4 linked regions of the Daphnia pulex genome follow. The main gene of each other region encodes a partner of the protein of the gene in region 2 in a complex. Links are inferred from orthologs where the notes say so. Each region holds a gene or a part of one and is shown on either strand. Other genes may lie near its edges. The genes, in order: exosome complex component RRP46-like, exosome component 10-like, exosome complex component RRP4-like and exosome complex exonuclease RRP44-like.

The links.
Region 1: exosome component 10-like (region 2) and exosome complex component RRP46-like share a complex: the UniProt entries of both Caenorhabditis elegans proteins name them as parts of the RNA exosome complex. The link is inferred for Daphnia pulex from reciprocal best matches to the Caenorhabditis elegans genes crn-3 and crn-5.
Region 3: exosome component 10-like (region 2) and exosome complex component RRP4-like share a complex: the UniProt entries of both Caenorhabditis elegans proteins name them as parts of the RNA exosome complex. The link is inferred for Daphnia pulex from reciprocal best matches to the Caenorhabditis elegans genes crn-3 and exos-2.
Region 4: exosome component 10-like (region 2) and exosome complex exonuclease RRP44-like share a complex: the UniProt entries of both Caenorhabditis elegans proteins name them as parts of the RNA exosome complex. The link is inferred for Daphnia pulex from reciprocal best matches to the Caenorhabditis elegans genes crn-3 and dis-3.

The regions. Positions count from the first base shown.
Region 1 is NC_060020.1:3,912,655-3,915,866, forward strand, and holds exosome complex component RRP46-like, read left to right. Parts: upstream 1-1,412; 5' UTR 1,413-1,561; coding exon 1,562-1,649; intron 1,650-1,738; coding exon 1,739-1,852; intron 1,853-1,913; coding exon 1,914-2,035; intron 2,036-2,101; coding exon 2,102-2,242; intron 2,243-2,324; coding exon 2,325-2,516; 3' UTR 2,517-2,550; downstream 2,551-3,212. Other genes in the region: serine/threonine-protein kinase D1-like, read right to left, coding at 371-502. UniProt on the Caenorhabditis elegans protein: Non-catalytic component of the RNA exosome complex which has 3'->5' exoribonuclease activity and participates in a multitude of cellular RNA processing and degradation events. Involved in apoptotic DNA degradation.
Region 2 is NC_060022.1:1,682,258-1,686,714, forward strand, and holds the start of exosome component 10-like, read right to left. Parts: upstream 2,931-4,457; 5' UTR 2,748-2,930; coding exon 2,697-2,747; intron 2,626-2,696; coding exon 2,489-2,625; intron 2,426-2,488; coding exon 2,314-2,425; intron 2,254-2,313; coding exon 2,143-2,253; intron 2,075-2,142; coding exon 1,706-2,074; intron 1,637-1,705; coding exon 1,493-1,636; intron 1,434-1,492; coding exon 1-1,433. Other genes in the region: transmembrane protein 98-like, read left to right, coding at 3,347-3,516, 3,586-3,847, 3,961-4,152, 4,261-4,359. UniProt on the Caenorhabditis elegans protein: Catalytic component of the RNA exosome complex which has 3'->5' exoribonuclease activity and participates in a multitude of cellular RNA processing and degradation events. Involved in apoptotic DNA degradation.
Region 3 is NC_060023.1:8,701,281-8,704,789, forward strand, and holds exosome complex component RRP4-like, read right to left. Parts: upstream 1,962-3,509; 5' UTR 1,848-1,961; coding exon 1,729-1,847; intron 1,669-1,728; coding exon 1,431-1,668; intron 1,371-1,430; coding exon 1,236-1,370; intron 1,178-1,235; coding exon 1,007-1,177; intron 942-1,006; coding exon 807-941; intron 745-806; coding exon 664-744; 3' UTR 631-663; downstream 1-630. Other genes in the region: uncharacterized protein LOC124197887, read left to right, coding at 1-34; CDP-diacylglycerol--glycerol-3-phosphate 3-phosphatidyltransferase, mitochondrial-like, read left to right, coding at 2,200-2,463, 2,528-3,433, 3,499-3,509. UniProt on the Caenorhabditis elegans protein: Non-catalytic component of the RNA exosome complex which has 3'->5' exoribonuclease activity and participates in a multitude of cellular RNA processing and degradation events. Involved in regulation of antisense ribosomal siRNA production.
Region 4 is NC_060019.1:10,637,920-10,642,433, forward strand, and holds the start of exosome complex exonuclease RRP44-like, read right to left. Parts: upstream 2,885-4,514; 5' UTR 2,770-2,884; coding exon 2,730-2,769; intron 2,673-2,729; coding exon 2,491-2,672; intron 2,433-2,490; coding exon 2,275-2,432; intron 2,214-2,274; coding exon 2,008-2,213; intron 1,946-2,007; coding exon 1,765-1,945; intron 1,700-1,764; coding exon 1,578-1,699; intron 1,524-1,577; coding exon 1,464-1,523; intron 1,404-1,463; coding exon 1,335-1,403; intron 1,270-1,334; coding exon 1,004-1,269; intron 936-1,003; coding exon 917-935; intron 836-916; coding exon 571-835; intron 512-570; coding exon 206-511; intron 140-205; coding exon 1-139. Other genes in the region: 26S proteasome non-ATPase regulatory subunit 13-like, read left to right, coding at 3,018-3,229, 3,294-3,620, 3,694-3,808, 3,863-4,051, 4,112-4,309, 4,369-4,467. UniProt on the Caenorhabditis elegans protein: Putative catalytic component of the RNA exosome complex which has 3'->5' exoribonuclease activity and participates in a multitude of cellular RNA processing and degradation events. Has both 3'-5' exonuclease and endonuclease activities.

The sequences.
Region 1 (3,212 bases), on a different chromosome or scaffold from region 2:
TTTTTCCTTCCATCTCAATCATCCTAAATCCAATATCGCAACGTGGCTGCTGAAGAAATCGATTGGCCCCCTCTTGAAAAGAGATTATTTCTAATCATCCAACCTTATTGATCATTTAAAGCAGGATTGTGTCAACAGTTCCCAGTGGAAGTGGATGGGAAAATATGGAGAAAAATTCCGAATACAACAGCTTAGCAACTTAAAAGGCAAAAATATACACGGCAAACACACTTAAGCAACGACAGTGATGACGTAATATAATCAAAACAAAAAAGCTCTCTGGTTACTACAATAAAGGCGTTGTCAGGTGTATAGTGATGCATGGACGTGGAGGTAATTGGATCGGCGTGTAATGTTCAAAAACACTTACCCGTTGATTAATAAAGTTGCAGGCCAAATCTTTGAGCGTTTTCAGCGTTAACTGGGAGGCATCCGTGGAGATAAAGTCTCGTACCAGTCCAACTTGGAACATAAAGGTCACCTGACCATTACCATCATCCATGATGGAGCTTGGATCCAAAATTTTATGAAAAACACAATCACAATTATGGCGAAGTTTGACTTTTGGATGGCAGTGAAATTCGCACACACACAAAACTGGCCCTTTTTCGTTGGAATAGTCTGTGTGGTTGGTGTGTGTGTGTGCAATCAGGTGGGAGCAATGGAGTAAAAAAAAAAAAAAAACGGGTTCCAGCAACCAACAGGTTGATTGGAATGTCACATAGCCTCGGGCTGAGATCACCTTTTCTTTCGTCGTTCTCCCGCCCTGGCACCACTTAGATTTTTCCTTTTCTTTCTTCTTCAAAGAAAAAAGGTTGGGTTTTTACCTCCACTTGATTGCACGACAAAACTGAGCAACACGACTGTTTTAAAACCAACACAGATGGGAGCAGCACAACGCGTGATAACACGTTGGTGATGAAAAAAGTCGGTGCGAATAAGAGGGACTGGCTAATGGAAATGCCCAAACTAAATTCAATTAATACGCAGGTTTCCCAATCATGATGGCACACACAAAAAATTCACGTATAAACATCACACACACACACACACACACTAGCACACTTTACGTTCTCTCGAGAAATGCAGAAACAGACTCACGTACGTGTGTGTGTGTGTTTCTGACCGTGCAGCTCAAGTCACGATAACTTGGTAGTCTGCCGAGCTAATAAATACTGTCGCTACTCGGAGATCCGTCTTTGGCTTGCTCACAATTTTCTGGCCAAAAACAGCGTTGCCATTCTCTCGTGACTGAACGAACGAAATCCATGAAAAATACATATTCATAGCTACATTGGAAAATTGTGAATTTTTCAGGTCTTCTTTATTACAAATATAATAGTTGTTTTAAATTCATGGAGTTAAAAGTTATATTTTGTGTGATTAAGTAAATGGTTGCCATGGTAACTTAGAGACATCTGCAGACTGCTGTTGCCGACCCGTCAACCCCATGTATTTTTTACGATCACGTTGCTTATGCAGAAACAGGGCTGCGTTCTTAATCTGAATTATTGAATACTTTTTCAATCACAAAGAATTGCTTGCAATATTATTATTCGCCATGGAGACTGAAGAGAATAGCATTCGTGCTTTAAAGTGCGAACAAAGCGTACTGTCACGTGCAGATGGCTCGGTGATGTTTTCTCAAGGTAAGTTTAGATTTGTAACTTTTTCCACGCTGTTTTCGTGTTATTTTGTCCAAGTCGGTAAATTTTATTTTATTGACTTGTCATTTCAGGGAATACTGTGGTAATGGCTTCAGTTTATGGACCTTTGGAGGCTAAAATTCAAAAGGAACTGTCCGATAGAATGTACATTGAACTAAACTACAAGCCAAAAACAGGAATGCCAGGTTATTAATAACTTATCCTGTGTATTATTATTTCTGTAATATTGAATGCATTTTTATTTAGGTGTTGCTGAGCGTGGAAAGGAGAAACTCATCAAGACCACTTGTAATCACATTATTTTGACGAACCTGCACCCTCGAACAGCTGTCTGCATAACAGTTCAAGAAATGCAAGATGGTGGAACTGTAAGCACTTACCACAACAAATTTATTTTGATCAAGAATTAGTTGTTCACATTTTCCATAAACTAGTTGCTAGCAGCCTCCATCAATGCTGTGTGCCTTGCACTTCTTGACTCGGGTTTACCCCTGCAGTGTCTTGTAGCTGCAGTGACTTGTTTGGTAGACAAGAAGGATAGAATTGTCCTAGACCCATGCATCAGCACAGTCAAAGTATGATTTCCACTAAGAATTAACTAATTTTTTTCCCCCATTTTTTGTTGTTGTGCCTAACTTACTTTTTTCCCCATTACAGGAAGGTTATAAAGCAATGTTTACCTTTGCTTTTGACAGTCAAAAATACAACTTAATTCTGAGCCACTGTGAAGGCCAAGTTCCCTATCAACTTTTTCAAAAAGCCATGGAGCTGTGTCAGAAAGCCAGTCACGTCATCTTTGATTTCTACCGGCAAGCAGTACTACGAAAGTTTTCCAACGAACTTCTGTAAAACTTTCAAAAAATACACATTTTAAAGTTTTGTATATGCGACTGAAAACAAAGTATAATTGTATAAGTATAGGCTTGCTTATTTCCAGTATCGTTAAATTTCTTCGGAAAACCAATCCATCCTAATATGTCATGCGCATCTAGCAATACTCGAGTAATCACGTTCACCAAAACTATATCTAGAAGGTTTCCTGCCCGGAGCTTGGCTCCAATGCAATGCGGTACAATTTTGACACAAGTTATTTAGGTATAGTAAAAGTGCCGATTGTGAAATCAGAAAAAAAATAAACTTAACTTTGAAACAAACTCTTCTTAGAATGACATATGGTAGGTAGTTCTACCATTTTTAGGATTTATTCGGTCGGAAAATGTAGCATAAAGGAATTTCTTTTATGGTTATTCTGAAAATTTATTTCAAGGTGGTCTGGATATATCGAGTGCGATTTCAGCCTTTACGGTAATAGGCCTTGAAATGTTTTTCTCAATTAGAAAGTTTAGCCAATTAGGCTGTCAAGTCAAAGTCAACACAAATAAAGCAATTCTAAATTTAAGTCATGTATCACCTGATTCCAGTTTCGAGTTATTTTCCGATTGTTCCATTTCAGTAGCAATCGTAATCATGATTGTGGCTAAGTAAACGTTATCTTGTGTGTGGTGTCCATTATTAGACAAAAGAATCTAAATTGGTCAGAACACT
Region 2 (4,457 bases):
CTTTTAAAAGCGTGATAATCAACCTGGGAATAATCAAATGGTTCGAAATTAGCCCCGCTGTCATTTCCTGCTTCTTTGCTCGCCGGTCGTTTTAATGATTTTTTCTTCATTCCTGGATTGGGGCTCTTGGATGTTGCTGGATTAGGGCTCTTGGATGCTGACGGCACTACTGCATCCGCCGACTTTTTCGATGGGGAGCTGGAGTTTGATGGAATTACAGATGTTTCAGGAGTAGCCGTTACTCGTTTAGTACTCCCTACTTTCTTCTTCTTCTTGTTAAGTCCCTGCGCTTTCAACGCCAACTTCTTTTTCTTCGCAGGAACTACTGCTACTGCTTCCGCCTCTTCTTCCATCGCTTCCGCTTCACGCTGGGCATCGGGTGTTGAATGCGCCACTTCTTCCATGAAATGTTGGCGCAACTTTTCGACACGTTGTGCTTCTGCGGCTTCTTCGGCCGACTTTAGAGCTCTGACACGAATATATCTCGTGTATGGAGAAACAAAATTAGTTGATACATTTGTCACGATGCCAGAATGAGCCGATTCGGCGAAGATTAGAGCTTGTGGGAACTCTTTTACAGTGACGCGGACTCCAAACTCCTCGGATCTTGACGCCATTGATTCGATCGTTTGCGGATTCAGCAGAGTGGGTAGGTCGTCTCGGATGTCCTGAGAATGTGTCAAGTCGTGCATACAATAAAGGGGGTCTTCGGTGTCTTGATCCAATGGAGTCGGCATCATTTTCGGGATGGCTAATGGCTGGCCGTGATGTTGTAGAGTGGCGAGAGGCATTTCTCTGGCTTTTAATATGATTCCATGGAGATGAAGTAAATGCTGACGAACGAGCGAAGGGATAGGTGAACAACAGGCAAGGATACCTTGCATCTCCTTAGGTAGAACATCGGCGATTTGTAACAACATGTGTTTGGGTAGAACAAAACCAGTGCTCTCGTCTTCTTCTCGAGCTATTCGATCGCGCCAAGCAAACAGTTCTTTTAATGCAAACAGCTGACGTTCGTTGAAAATCTTCTTGCTGAGCCTATACAATTCCAAGTGACTTTCGGCAGTGATAGGGGGAATTCTGTAACGTTTGAGACAAACCAGTCGGCTGTTTTGCCAAACTGCTGTCAGCAAATTATCTCCTGTTCCCTTCATCTTCAAATCCTTTTTCATCTTTTCGTAAATGTATCCTAGGTAGTGGGTATCTTCTCGAGCATAATTGACCATTTGCTCAGGCAAGGGACGAATTCGCCAATCGGCTAGCTGGTATTGTTTGTCAGCAATAACTTGGCAATAATGACGAAGGAGGAAGGACAAGGACAGCTGTGCAAAACCCAATAATTTGGCAGCGTGATAAGTGTCAAAAAGATTAACGACGTAGATACCGAAATCGCGCTGAAGCCACTGAATATCCATATCAGCTCCATGAAAAATCTAAACGAAAACCAACAAAATAAGTTTGTTACTTCTTCAATTAAACAGTTAGCTCATACCTTAACAATCTTTGGGTTGCAGAAAACTTCATTTAAAGGCTGTAGTTGATCCCATAGCTCTAAAGTGTCTATAATGTAGTCAGAACTGCTTGTTGAAATTTGCATTAAGCATGTTAGGCCTTGAAAGGATCTATATGAATGGGCCTGGCAATAAATAATTAAGGAACTTAATAAGGTTCACCAATTTAAAAACTGCTAGACAGTGAATAATACCTCCAGATCTACAGCAATCACAGTTTCCTCAAGCAAAACTTTCAAAAGACTTTTTAAACCTTCTTCAGTATCTATCATTACCAAAGGGATTTCTTGAACACTTGGGAATGGAGGCACTTCATCAAGTACGGTGAAGAACTTTGGATCCGGTGTAAAACGTTCCAATTCAAATTCGTACGGATGGCTAAACTCTTCATCGCCCAAGTCATTCAATTCTAATAGTATCGCCAGTGGTTTCAACGAATGAGGCTTATCTTTGATTTTGGGGATAAACGGTCCAGGTGAATTCTTGATTTTCTCTTTGAATTTCAACTGTGGTCTCAGAATGTTTTTAGCAGAAAGAAGTTTGTAAGAGGTTGCTGGTGAACTCTGTAAACAAGATGAATACTTTATAGATTCAGCATCTAAGACAACAATTGGTATGAAAAACTAGATACCACAGAATGCCGATTCCAACTGCCATTAATATTTGTAGTTTTTGCCATCATCTCAACAACTACAGTTTCTGCTTGTTTTTTTAATCCAGCAGCTTCATCTAGAGAAAGATTCTGAAACGAAAGCAGTTTTTTTTAACAGGTGTAAAATTCTAATAATTCCTAGTAGCATACTATTCGCTCCATCAAGATGTCATTGTTGTCCGACACCAGCTCCATCTGCTCTTCCAAATCCAATTTTCCCACCTTTCCTGTTAGTCCATAGTGTCCGTAAATTGTGGTCATCCTTGACAAATAAAAATTTTAGGATCAAACAAAATTCTTATACTTAACGGTAGCTGTAACTCACAAGTTAGTAATGCGACCACCAAATTCTTTCATTGCGCTGGCATATGCTGGATAACTTTGGTAGTAATCCCAGTCTGAACCACTACTTGGTAATTCATTAGAGTACTTTGTGACCTTCATTGCACTTTGAAATAATTTCTAAATAAACAGAGAAAATCAAGTTGTGACTGATATGAAATTTCAAAATGTTTGGCCAGCCAATGCTCTACCTGTTGAACCTCTTGGGCATTTCCATTCTTCTCACTTTCTTTTTCACTCATTTTAAAAATATTCTCTGATCATCAATTGCAACAAAATCTTATTGCGATTATTCACAGAAAACATTAAGCACGTGAATCGCCTTGTTTCAGTCTCGCCGTTGACCAAAGAATCATGCTTTCAGAATCCACTTGTCGTCTGCTACATTATGCATGTAATACACCGTTAGTTAAACAGTTGATTTATTTATTATTAAACTTAAAAAGGATCTATATTACTTAATTAATTGAATATCTATGAACAAGTAAAATATTTAGTAAATTTAGAATATTTTTCAACCCACGACTAAATATTTTTTATTCATTTGAAAATGCTATTGCGCTTTAAAATTCTGCCAAGGGCGTTATAAAAGTTCCCCGAAAATAACAAATCAACAAGTGCCTTGACCATCATTCTTTTCCATAAAATAATAACAATTTTAATCCCGCCGTAAAAATGTTTGCACTAGTTGTTTATTAACTTGGACTTTCGTTATTGAGTACTTATAAAGGTTCACTGTGTCATCCAAACTTGTCGTTTTTGCGAAGGTAACTAATATATGACAGACGCTTGAAACGATCGAAAGATTTTCTTATATTGCTTTCTTTTTCAGCACATAACAATGCACGCTGTTGTCGTTGTGACTGGAGGGATTTTGACTTCCGTATTCATTGCTGCTCTCCTTGCGCTATTGTTTATATGCAGATATAAACTATGTTGCTTTAATCTTGGTTCTAAATTTAAGAAGAAGGAACAAAGCCCACAAGTGCAGCAGAATGGATTCCATGTGAGGTAACTATCTCAAAAACGAACAAAGACTTCTTTCGCAGTTGGGAGTAATTTTGCTTTTGAATTTCCCAGTAGGTCTGATATTCATCTAATCAGTAGCCTAGAGATGGAAGATGAAGACTACATCATGGACAATATTGATCCTGAAGATTTAGTGATTCACCCTGACTTGGACAAAGTTCTAGAATCTCACAGATGGAAATGGGTGGACGATGCCCTTGGAATTGTTCCTCATTGCCTTCAGATTTTAAAAGGCTGTCACTTGATGAGTGAAAGGCTTGTGACTACAGCTATGGCTTCTACAGATCAACAGAGATTTGTTGAATTGGCAATGGTACAACTCTCATTATCTAAAAGAAAAATAATTGCATGCATTTCTGTTATGTTGGAATTCAGTTGTGACACTCCAAAGATTACTATGTGTCTGAAAGTTCTGTTGTGTTTTAGGTTGCAAAATCTGTCCTTCCATTAGTTGACGACGTCTTGCGTTCCATGTGCCCACCCATTCAACCACGCGATGTCGAAATCCGAGCCTTTGCCCTCTTGAATGCTGTCAACCGCTTGAGCAAACTCACCGAGCGAACATGCAATGTGTCGTGGCCATCAGCTATTTTCGAAGAGATGAATATGCATTACCAGGTAACGTGCATCTTTTAAATGCTACACGACTTGTTTGCTTGGAAACGCGAACTGGCTCTGAATGTTCTCGATACTATCTGCTTAACTTTTCATTAATTTGTACTGCAGAAACTCAAAGCCATCGCCCGGCGCTCTGAAACTCAATTATGGAACGAACGAAATCTTTACAGGGAAGGTGTGACCATAGTCGAATCATCCATGACTTGAAACACGAATAATCTCGAAAACCTTCGTAATCTCCGTCCAAAATATCACAACGTATCTTAACAAAATTAGCCTCACTAACCTAAATGCACAATGTTCGT
Region 3 (3,509 bases), on a different chromosome or scaffold from region 2:
GCGCCGCTGGTTGGGACCCGACAAGAGCGTCTAAGATTACAAACCCATCTAATCAAGGTGGAATCCTAATATCTAAAAACACGGGACATTTTCCAATCGTGAAGCCCTCCTAAACATAATCGTTATCCATTCGTCGTCACGGAATTTCGCTAGATATTCATTGTTTCTATTTATCATTATTTTTTTTTTTTGTTAATTATTATTTGCTTGATTTGTTAAAGCAGCGCTTTAACATGACTTCCGGTTAAATCTTTTTTTTTTCCTTCCTTGGTGGACCTAGGGAACGGGGTCCATTAGTAATTTATTATCCTATATAATCTTTTTAGGTGTTTCAAAACTAGCCCAGGGCATTTTGTTGAGTGGTGCTTACGGCAGATCTTATCCTGGTTTTCTCTAGCACACTTGTTTTAATGTAAATATGATTTGTGGGGGGGATGACTTATAAATGAAGTCTACAAAATTTTAATATTCTTGGGAAACCGGTTGTAGTTGGAAACAAAAAAAAACCGCCTTTATTATCGAATGTTTCTTCGTTTATGTTTTTCCCTGCCCCAGAATAAAACTTTGTCTGCAGTATGAATAAACTGATCCACACCATTAATGTTTGGGAAATCGAATGTCAACTTCTGGTTCAGCCTGAGCCATGTTTATTCGAAAATTAAATTATTCTTTTTCCATTTCGAACTGCTTACGAACCATTAAAGCGATTTCTTTTATCTTGTCCGGTAGGAGAAGATCCTTGATCTACATAAAAGCATTATATAAGTTAGCATTGAATTATTTAGTTTCAATGTAAAAATAATTACCTCAAGCCCAGCATTTACGGAGGCTTCGTAGGCATGCATAATGCTGGTATCATAGATCATCATCTTGCAGTGCGCCAAAGCTGTCACACAATTCCTTAACCGGCTTATAGCTTGTCGATCGGCATGCGGAACTGTCTATAGGTTTCAACAGAATTAGCTTCCACGTGATAATGTACAAACATCGACTTTTTAGTACGCACCTCCAAGTTTTGAACAAATCCACCGGCGCCATCGTCAAGGAGCGTAGGGCAGATCCAAACAAATCCATTGTTACCCATAATGATACTTGCTCCGCAAGGCAAGTTGTGGAAATGAGTCTTCTGTCTTCGGATCAAAGATGGACTAACTTTTATTAGGCAACCTTGGGAAAGCTATAACAGATAAATGGTTGTTATTACAGTTAATATTTTAAATAACTTATTGTTATACTTTTCCATATTTCATGCTGCGGGTGTGTAAAGAAAGAGCTCCATCATTGAAGATGTTTTGAACCTCTGCACTGACCAAATCTCCTTCTTTCAGGTATTGCCTCATGGCTAATTCATCTTCTGCTGATCTTCTTCTCTAAAAGCATTATGAGATATAAATATTTGTGTAATTGCACAAATAAAAAGTCTTTCTTACGAGTTCACCACCAGGCAAATTGACTGACTGAAGAAGAAGCACTGAATCTAATCTTGCATTGGTGTCCAGTTTCCAACGTTTCTGTGAAACCTCAGTAACCCTACCAATTACGACATCTCCAATCTCCCCATGATAACGAGATTTCAAGGGTCTAACTGAAATAAGTTGGTTGACTCTCTCCACAACTCCAGCAACACTGGAGTACAAACAGTCATCTTGCATGTATGTTCCATGACCCCTTAGCAAAACATAAAATAAGATTATCATCAAGAAAATGGCAAAACTTTTAACAATCTACCTCATGAATCCTGTTTCCTTTGTGATCAAAGAGCCAGGTGTGACAAGATGTTTGGGTTCAGTAGAATCAGCGACGATATGAAAAGGAGGCACTTCAGAAGCAAGGCGAATGTCTACCATTCTTTTGGTTTTAATTATCCTAATGTATCAAGTTCAAAAAAAAGGAAACAACAGCACACTTGAAAATGACAATAATTCATCGTGTTCTGCTATACCATGCTGCTACGTTGCCTAAGCTATGGCGATATCAAAATATTTAAGAATATAAATATTTGTGGATATTCTTGTCAAAATGATATTGTGCAATTTAAATCGACTAATTAACTTATGTTCGAAATGGAAAATATAAAGTCAACTGAAATTTTTTTAACGAATCAAATAAAACATTGCGCGAATCACATTAGTATTAATTTTTGCCATCAGATGTCTGTTTGTTTATATGCCGATTCATTTCATTCGTCCGTACAAGTAAATGTCACTAATTTGCCAAAAAGCAATACTTTTTTCAACAACGATATGCGTTGCTGGGCGACAACGAGTATCTTGGCACTTCCTTCCCAAGACTGCTCGCAGAGGTTGGCAACGTAACCTTGTCTCGAGATCACTTCATCTCCAGCATCGTCCCGAAATGGAACCCGACAGTGATGAACAGCAGAGAACGGAACTGTTAACGACCCTTGAAAATTTCAGATGGCTCGGAAGTAAAACCCCTTGTTTCCCTGTGAACGGAAATAAGGTTAGTGTTCTAATAAGGTATTTTATTAGTGTCTTCTAGTAATAGTTGTAAAATTTTTTCTTAGGTTCGAGTTTTGTCTGATCCTGAAGATTTCTACAAAACACTTATTGAAAAGACTAGTCAAGCAAGTCAAAGAGTCACTTTTGCATCCTTATATCTTGGAACAGGAAATCATGAAAATGAGCTTGTAAAAACAATTGAAAGTACTTTGAAGAAAAACTCTGGCTCCAGCCTGAAAGTTCGAATTCTGTTGGATGCAACAAGAGGCTCTAGAGGTGCCCAATTCAATTCCCGTACAATGCTGCTTCCCTTAGTTCAGTCCTACAGCCAGCAGTGTTCAGTCCATTTTTATCACACTCCAGCACTTAGAGGATTATTAAAGAAAATTCTCCCAGAAAGATGGAATGAAATTATTGGCTTGCAACATATGAAGATTTACATATTTGACGATTCCTTATTAATCAGTGGCGCAAATTTAAGCCACGATTACTTCACAAATCGGCAAGATCGATACATAATTATGGAAGATTGCAAAGATTTAGTGGATTTCTTTGACCAACTAGTAGAAACTGTGTGCCAGTTTTCATTTCATTTAAGTGAAAACAACTGCCTTAACTTGAATTCCGCTTTTCCTCACCATCCGTTTGAATCCAATCGGCTTGAATTTACAGAAGAAGCAAAACGGAGAATCAACAACTTGTTTGAAAAGCAAATAAAAGCAAATGTTTCGTCCTCGATATTTCAATGGCCGAATCCGTCTGCTTACGACACCTGGATCTTCCCTTTCGTCCAGATGGGGCAGCTAAACATTTACATGGATAACATCTTGACGCGCGAGATTCTAGAAAACGTACCGGCAAACGCCGAATTATGTCTAGCAACCGGGTACTTCAACCTGACTCAGGACTATATGGATAGTTTGCTAGAAGCGTCCCAGCCAAATGTTCACATTCTCATGGCACATCCTCTGGTAAGCCCCTATCACCATTCAAACAAACGTTCTCCCATTTAATTTGATTGATTTATTCCCAATAGGCCAATGGTTT
Region 4 (4,514 bases), on a different chromosome or scaffold from region 2:
CACTGAAATATTAGCCAACAACATGAACTCTTCTACCATACTATTGGTGTCCAGCATTGGTTTTGAAATTACATCAATAGGGTCGTTTGTCTCAGTGCTGACCTCAAACCTAATCTCAGGGCTTGATAACTGCAACGCACTTAAATAAATTTAAGGTTAAACAACAAGAACTGTTGCGTCATTCCAACACTTTCTTTGTACATACCCTTTGTCCATACGGTTTTTCTTCAATATTTTAGCCAATTTATTTAACCCACGAAGGCTTTTGGCCAATTCATTTTGTTGAAGTGAATCATCAATGTTGCACTGAGCTTCCGCATAGGTGAAAGCTCGACGAGATCGTATCACACTTTTCGTAAAACGAGTTTTTTGAATTTCAGCATCTGCAGTCACTTGCCAAATAACAGAAAATGCGAGTCGTTCTTGATCCGGCCTCAAAGAACAGAGATTTGAACTTAAAAGTTCAGGGACCATGTCGATACGGCGGTCAACAAGGTAAACGGTTGTTCCTCTGCCAAAGTAATACACATGAAAATATAGCTGACAGTATTTCCACATGAAATGCAATACCTGTTGGCAGCTTCTTTATCAAGTGCAGTATCTGGCCTGACGAAATGTGAAACATCCGCAATATGAACTCCAATTTCATATAGATTCGGTGACAATTCTCTGAAATGGAGAGCGTCGTCGATATCTGTACACCCCGGTGGATCAACACTGCAAATATCTAAGTGGCGCAAGTCTTCGCGACGTTTCACTTCCTCTTCCGTTATCATCCATGGCATCGTAGGCAAACAAGCCAACACTGTTTCTGGGAAGCTATGGTGCGGCACATCTAGATAACGAAATAATCGAATAATGACGTTCACAAGGATCTAGTTTAGATTATGAAAAGAAGAGTAACAGTAACAATTACCATGCTCCAACAAAAGAACCTAGAGAAAAAAAGAAATGAAACCAGCTTAGAATAAGAAAAATTTGCAAATCCCGTATAAATTGTCACCTCATTTTCAGTGTCTTTGTCGCCGATGTTACCCAAAGCACGAACGAAATGACCGAGTGGATATCTTGAAGTACGAGGCCATGAATCGATCGCAACTATTATTTTTTGCGTAGACAACGTTACAGCTTGGCGAGTTTCAATGCGAATTTTCGGAATTTTCCTTTCAGCCGGAACGAAAAGGTGGCGAGTCCCTTCTGGAAGAACACTGGGAAGCAATATTCCGCAATATTGGCGCCATTTACGACGAATAATTCCAACGATTTTACCTATAAATTAAACAGTCAAATAACTGATAAGAAAAAGCGAATGAGTGGAAATCTACTCTGCTAACCAGTTGGTTGGCGATCCTTGCTTTTCGTGCTATCAATCAATAATTTTTCTTCTTTCTCAATTTCATCACCTATAAAGTAAAAATTAATAAGGCAAATGAAATTGCGCATATTCTCGAAATGTATGTTACCAGGATCTTGCTCTTCTTGATCCTCCAAAACGATGCCGCTAGGGGATGTCCATTTGTCCTCTTAATAAAATATTATAAATCTGTTGAAGCAAATAAATTATTGATAAATCATACCCGGTAGCAATTCAACAGCGACAACATCACCGTCAACTGCGCGATTCAAACTGGCATGGCCTTGCAAGAGAATGGATTTATCTTGTCCTTCAACACTAACAGTTCCTTCCAAAAAATTTTCTCTGATGAGGGAAAGAAAAAGTGTTAAAGATTGTAGCATATATGTATATGTACCAGGCGAAATCACCTTGAAGAGTGGAAAACCCCTTGGAGTAGCTTTCCAGATTTAATTCCCGACATAATTCTGGTGGGAGCTAAATGCTCGGGATACAATGGTTCACGATTTTCGTTATTACTTTCGGAATGTGAGGCAGCTAGCTTTTCTTGAAGATCTGGAAAATCTTTCAAGCTCTTCACATACTCATCCACTGGAATTGAAAATCATAACATTTAGTCAACAAATAAAATGGTTTAAAATTGTGTTGTTTACCTTTATAAGTAGGGATCCCCTCATTACATGCTTGCTCTCTGTTCTTAAAATCCTGAGTCAACAAAACAACCTTGATCTGTTTTTTCTTGTCATTTCCTTTCTGGCTTTCTTCCAAGTGAGTTTGATACCAACTGCAAGCTTTTCGAATAGCTCTATCATTTCTGTCATTTGCACTTTCACCAGGCTTTCTTTCAACATAAGTATCTCTGTCAAATATAATGGTTAAAATACCTAGGGAATATTTAGAAATGCAGAAACAAAAGATACTTGTGATGTTCATTGACAAAAACATAAAAGCTGTCTTTTCTTGTCGCCATAATCTCTCTCAACTTTTTGTAATTATTTGTGCTACGCTTCCTGGTTTCTTCCAATACTGTTTGCAACAGGATAACATTTTTCCAAGCTGAACTCTCCAACACATCAATCTGTGCAACAACAAATCATTTTATAGCGTAATTCATCGTACAAATAAATGTTAAATACCTGATGTAGCACAATGTTGGTGTCAATCACAATATAATGAGGGAAGGCACAAAGTGTACTAGACGACACAGGAGACTTGTCTAGCACATCGCTGTTTTCTTGGCCGCATTTTTTACACAGCTCAGAACCACACCATAGGTCATCTCTAAGGTAATGCTCTCTGACTACTTTCAAAACCTTTCCTGGAATTTACAATGATGAGACAAAGATGGGCAGACATTTGTGTTCAAAGCATTTACCTCTTTTCGTTTTTCGTAAAAACACTTTACTTGTAAGCATGTTGCCTATTCAAATTTTCGTCTAAATTATTAATCCAGTTTGTTCCAACTTCTGTTAAATTCAACAACGTGCAGAAACAGAGCAGACGAAATTCAATTCGGCGGAAACCTGCTTCTTCTCTACTAGGTGACCTGGCAACATTGTTTCTTCATTTTTCTTGACAGAAAATTGAGTGAAAAAAATCGTCTCGTCATCCGAGTAGCGATTGTTTGAAGACGTGAATATTGACCGGTTCAATAGATTTCAGAATGAGGGACGTCGCGAAATATCTCAACTCTAAGCAAAATACCGTGGATCAAGACTTGGCAGCAGAATGGGCAAAACTTGAAAGTCTCTATAACAAAAAACTATGGCATCAGCTTACCATCGAGATGCTCGATTTCGTCAAACATCCGAGTCTTCAATCAAATAATGAACTTGTACAGCTATACGAAAATTTTGTGGCCGACTTTGAGAACAAGTAAGTTCCTTCTTTATCAAGTAATTTTTTTAAATGTTTTATTAATCATTTTTCTTGTGCCTAGAATTAATCTTCTGTCACTTACCGAGATATGTGCCATCATTGTGAAGCAAATGGGGACTGTGGAAGAGCGCTTAGCTTTTCTCAAGCAGCTTCAAGAAAAAGTGAAGGCTAACAAAGAAGCATTAGCTCTTTGTAAAGTCCTCAGTGGAGGCATTATTTTACATGAAAAAGGAGATCAAGTTGAAACTAAGAATATCATGGAAGAAATCGGCAAAATCCTTGATGATACAGATGGAGTGACTCCTGTTCATGGAAGATACTACTCTCTTTGTAGTGACTTTTACCGTATTTATGGCAAGCATGCAGATTTCTATCGTGCATCCTTGAGGTAGTAGAAGTTGTCATACAAACTTGATTTTCATTCTATTCATTATTTTCTTTATCTTTCATAACTTGAATAGGTACTTGGGTTGTATTGAACTCACAAGTTTAAGCAATGCTGAACAGAAGAGCCAAGCTTTTCACCTTGGTATTGCTGCCTTGCTTGGAGAAGGAATTTACAATCTTGGTGAACTGGTATGTTTATATGATAACATCTTTGTGAAATGTAGCTAACATATCGCAATGCAGTTGGCCCATCCTGTCTTGGAATCGTTGAAGGACCAGGAAGAGAGTTGGTTGGTTGACCTCTTATTCATAATGAATGCAGGAGATATTGCAGGATTCCACAAACTAAGATCGAAATGGTCTTCACAAGCAGATCTCGTCAACAATGAACGACTTGTGCTGCAGAAAATAACACTTTTAGCTCTGATGGAGGTATAGCAAGGTTTACTATTTTTTTTAAAGCAGTAAAAGTTGACATTTTCTTTTGTTTAGATGACTTTCAAACGCCCGGCCACCAAACGCAATTTGTCATTCAAGGACATTGCTGCCAGCACAGGAGCCAGGGAAGATGAAGTGGAGCTGCTAGTAATGAAAGCTCTTGCGCAAGGACTCTTGAAGGGTACAATTGATCAAGTTGATTCTATTGCGCATTTCACTTGGGTCCAACCTCGTGTTCTCGATAAGAAACAGGTATTTTGTTATGATTGGCATTTAGTTTTAGTAAGAAATTTGACATTTTTTCTTGCTAGCTGTCCTCGATGATGACCCGATTAGAGAATTGGTGTAAGGATATTGAATCGGTGGAGACTCTGGTAGAAACTAAAGCTGCCGATATATTAACGATGTGAAAAATCATTTCTCATGAATAATAAACTTGTTTGGAAACGCCTTCAAG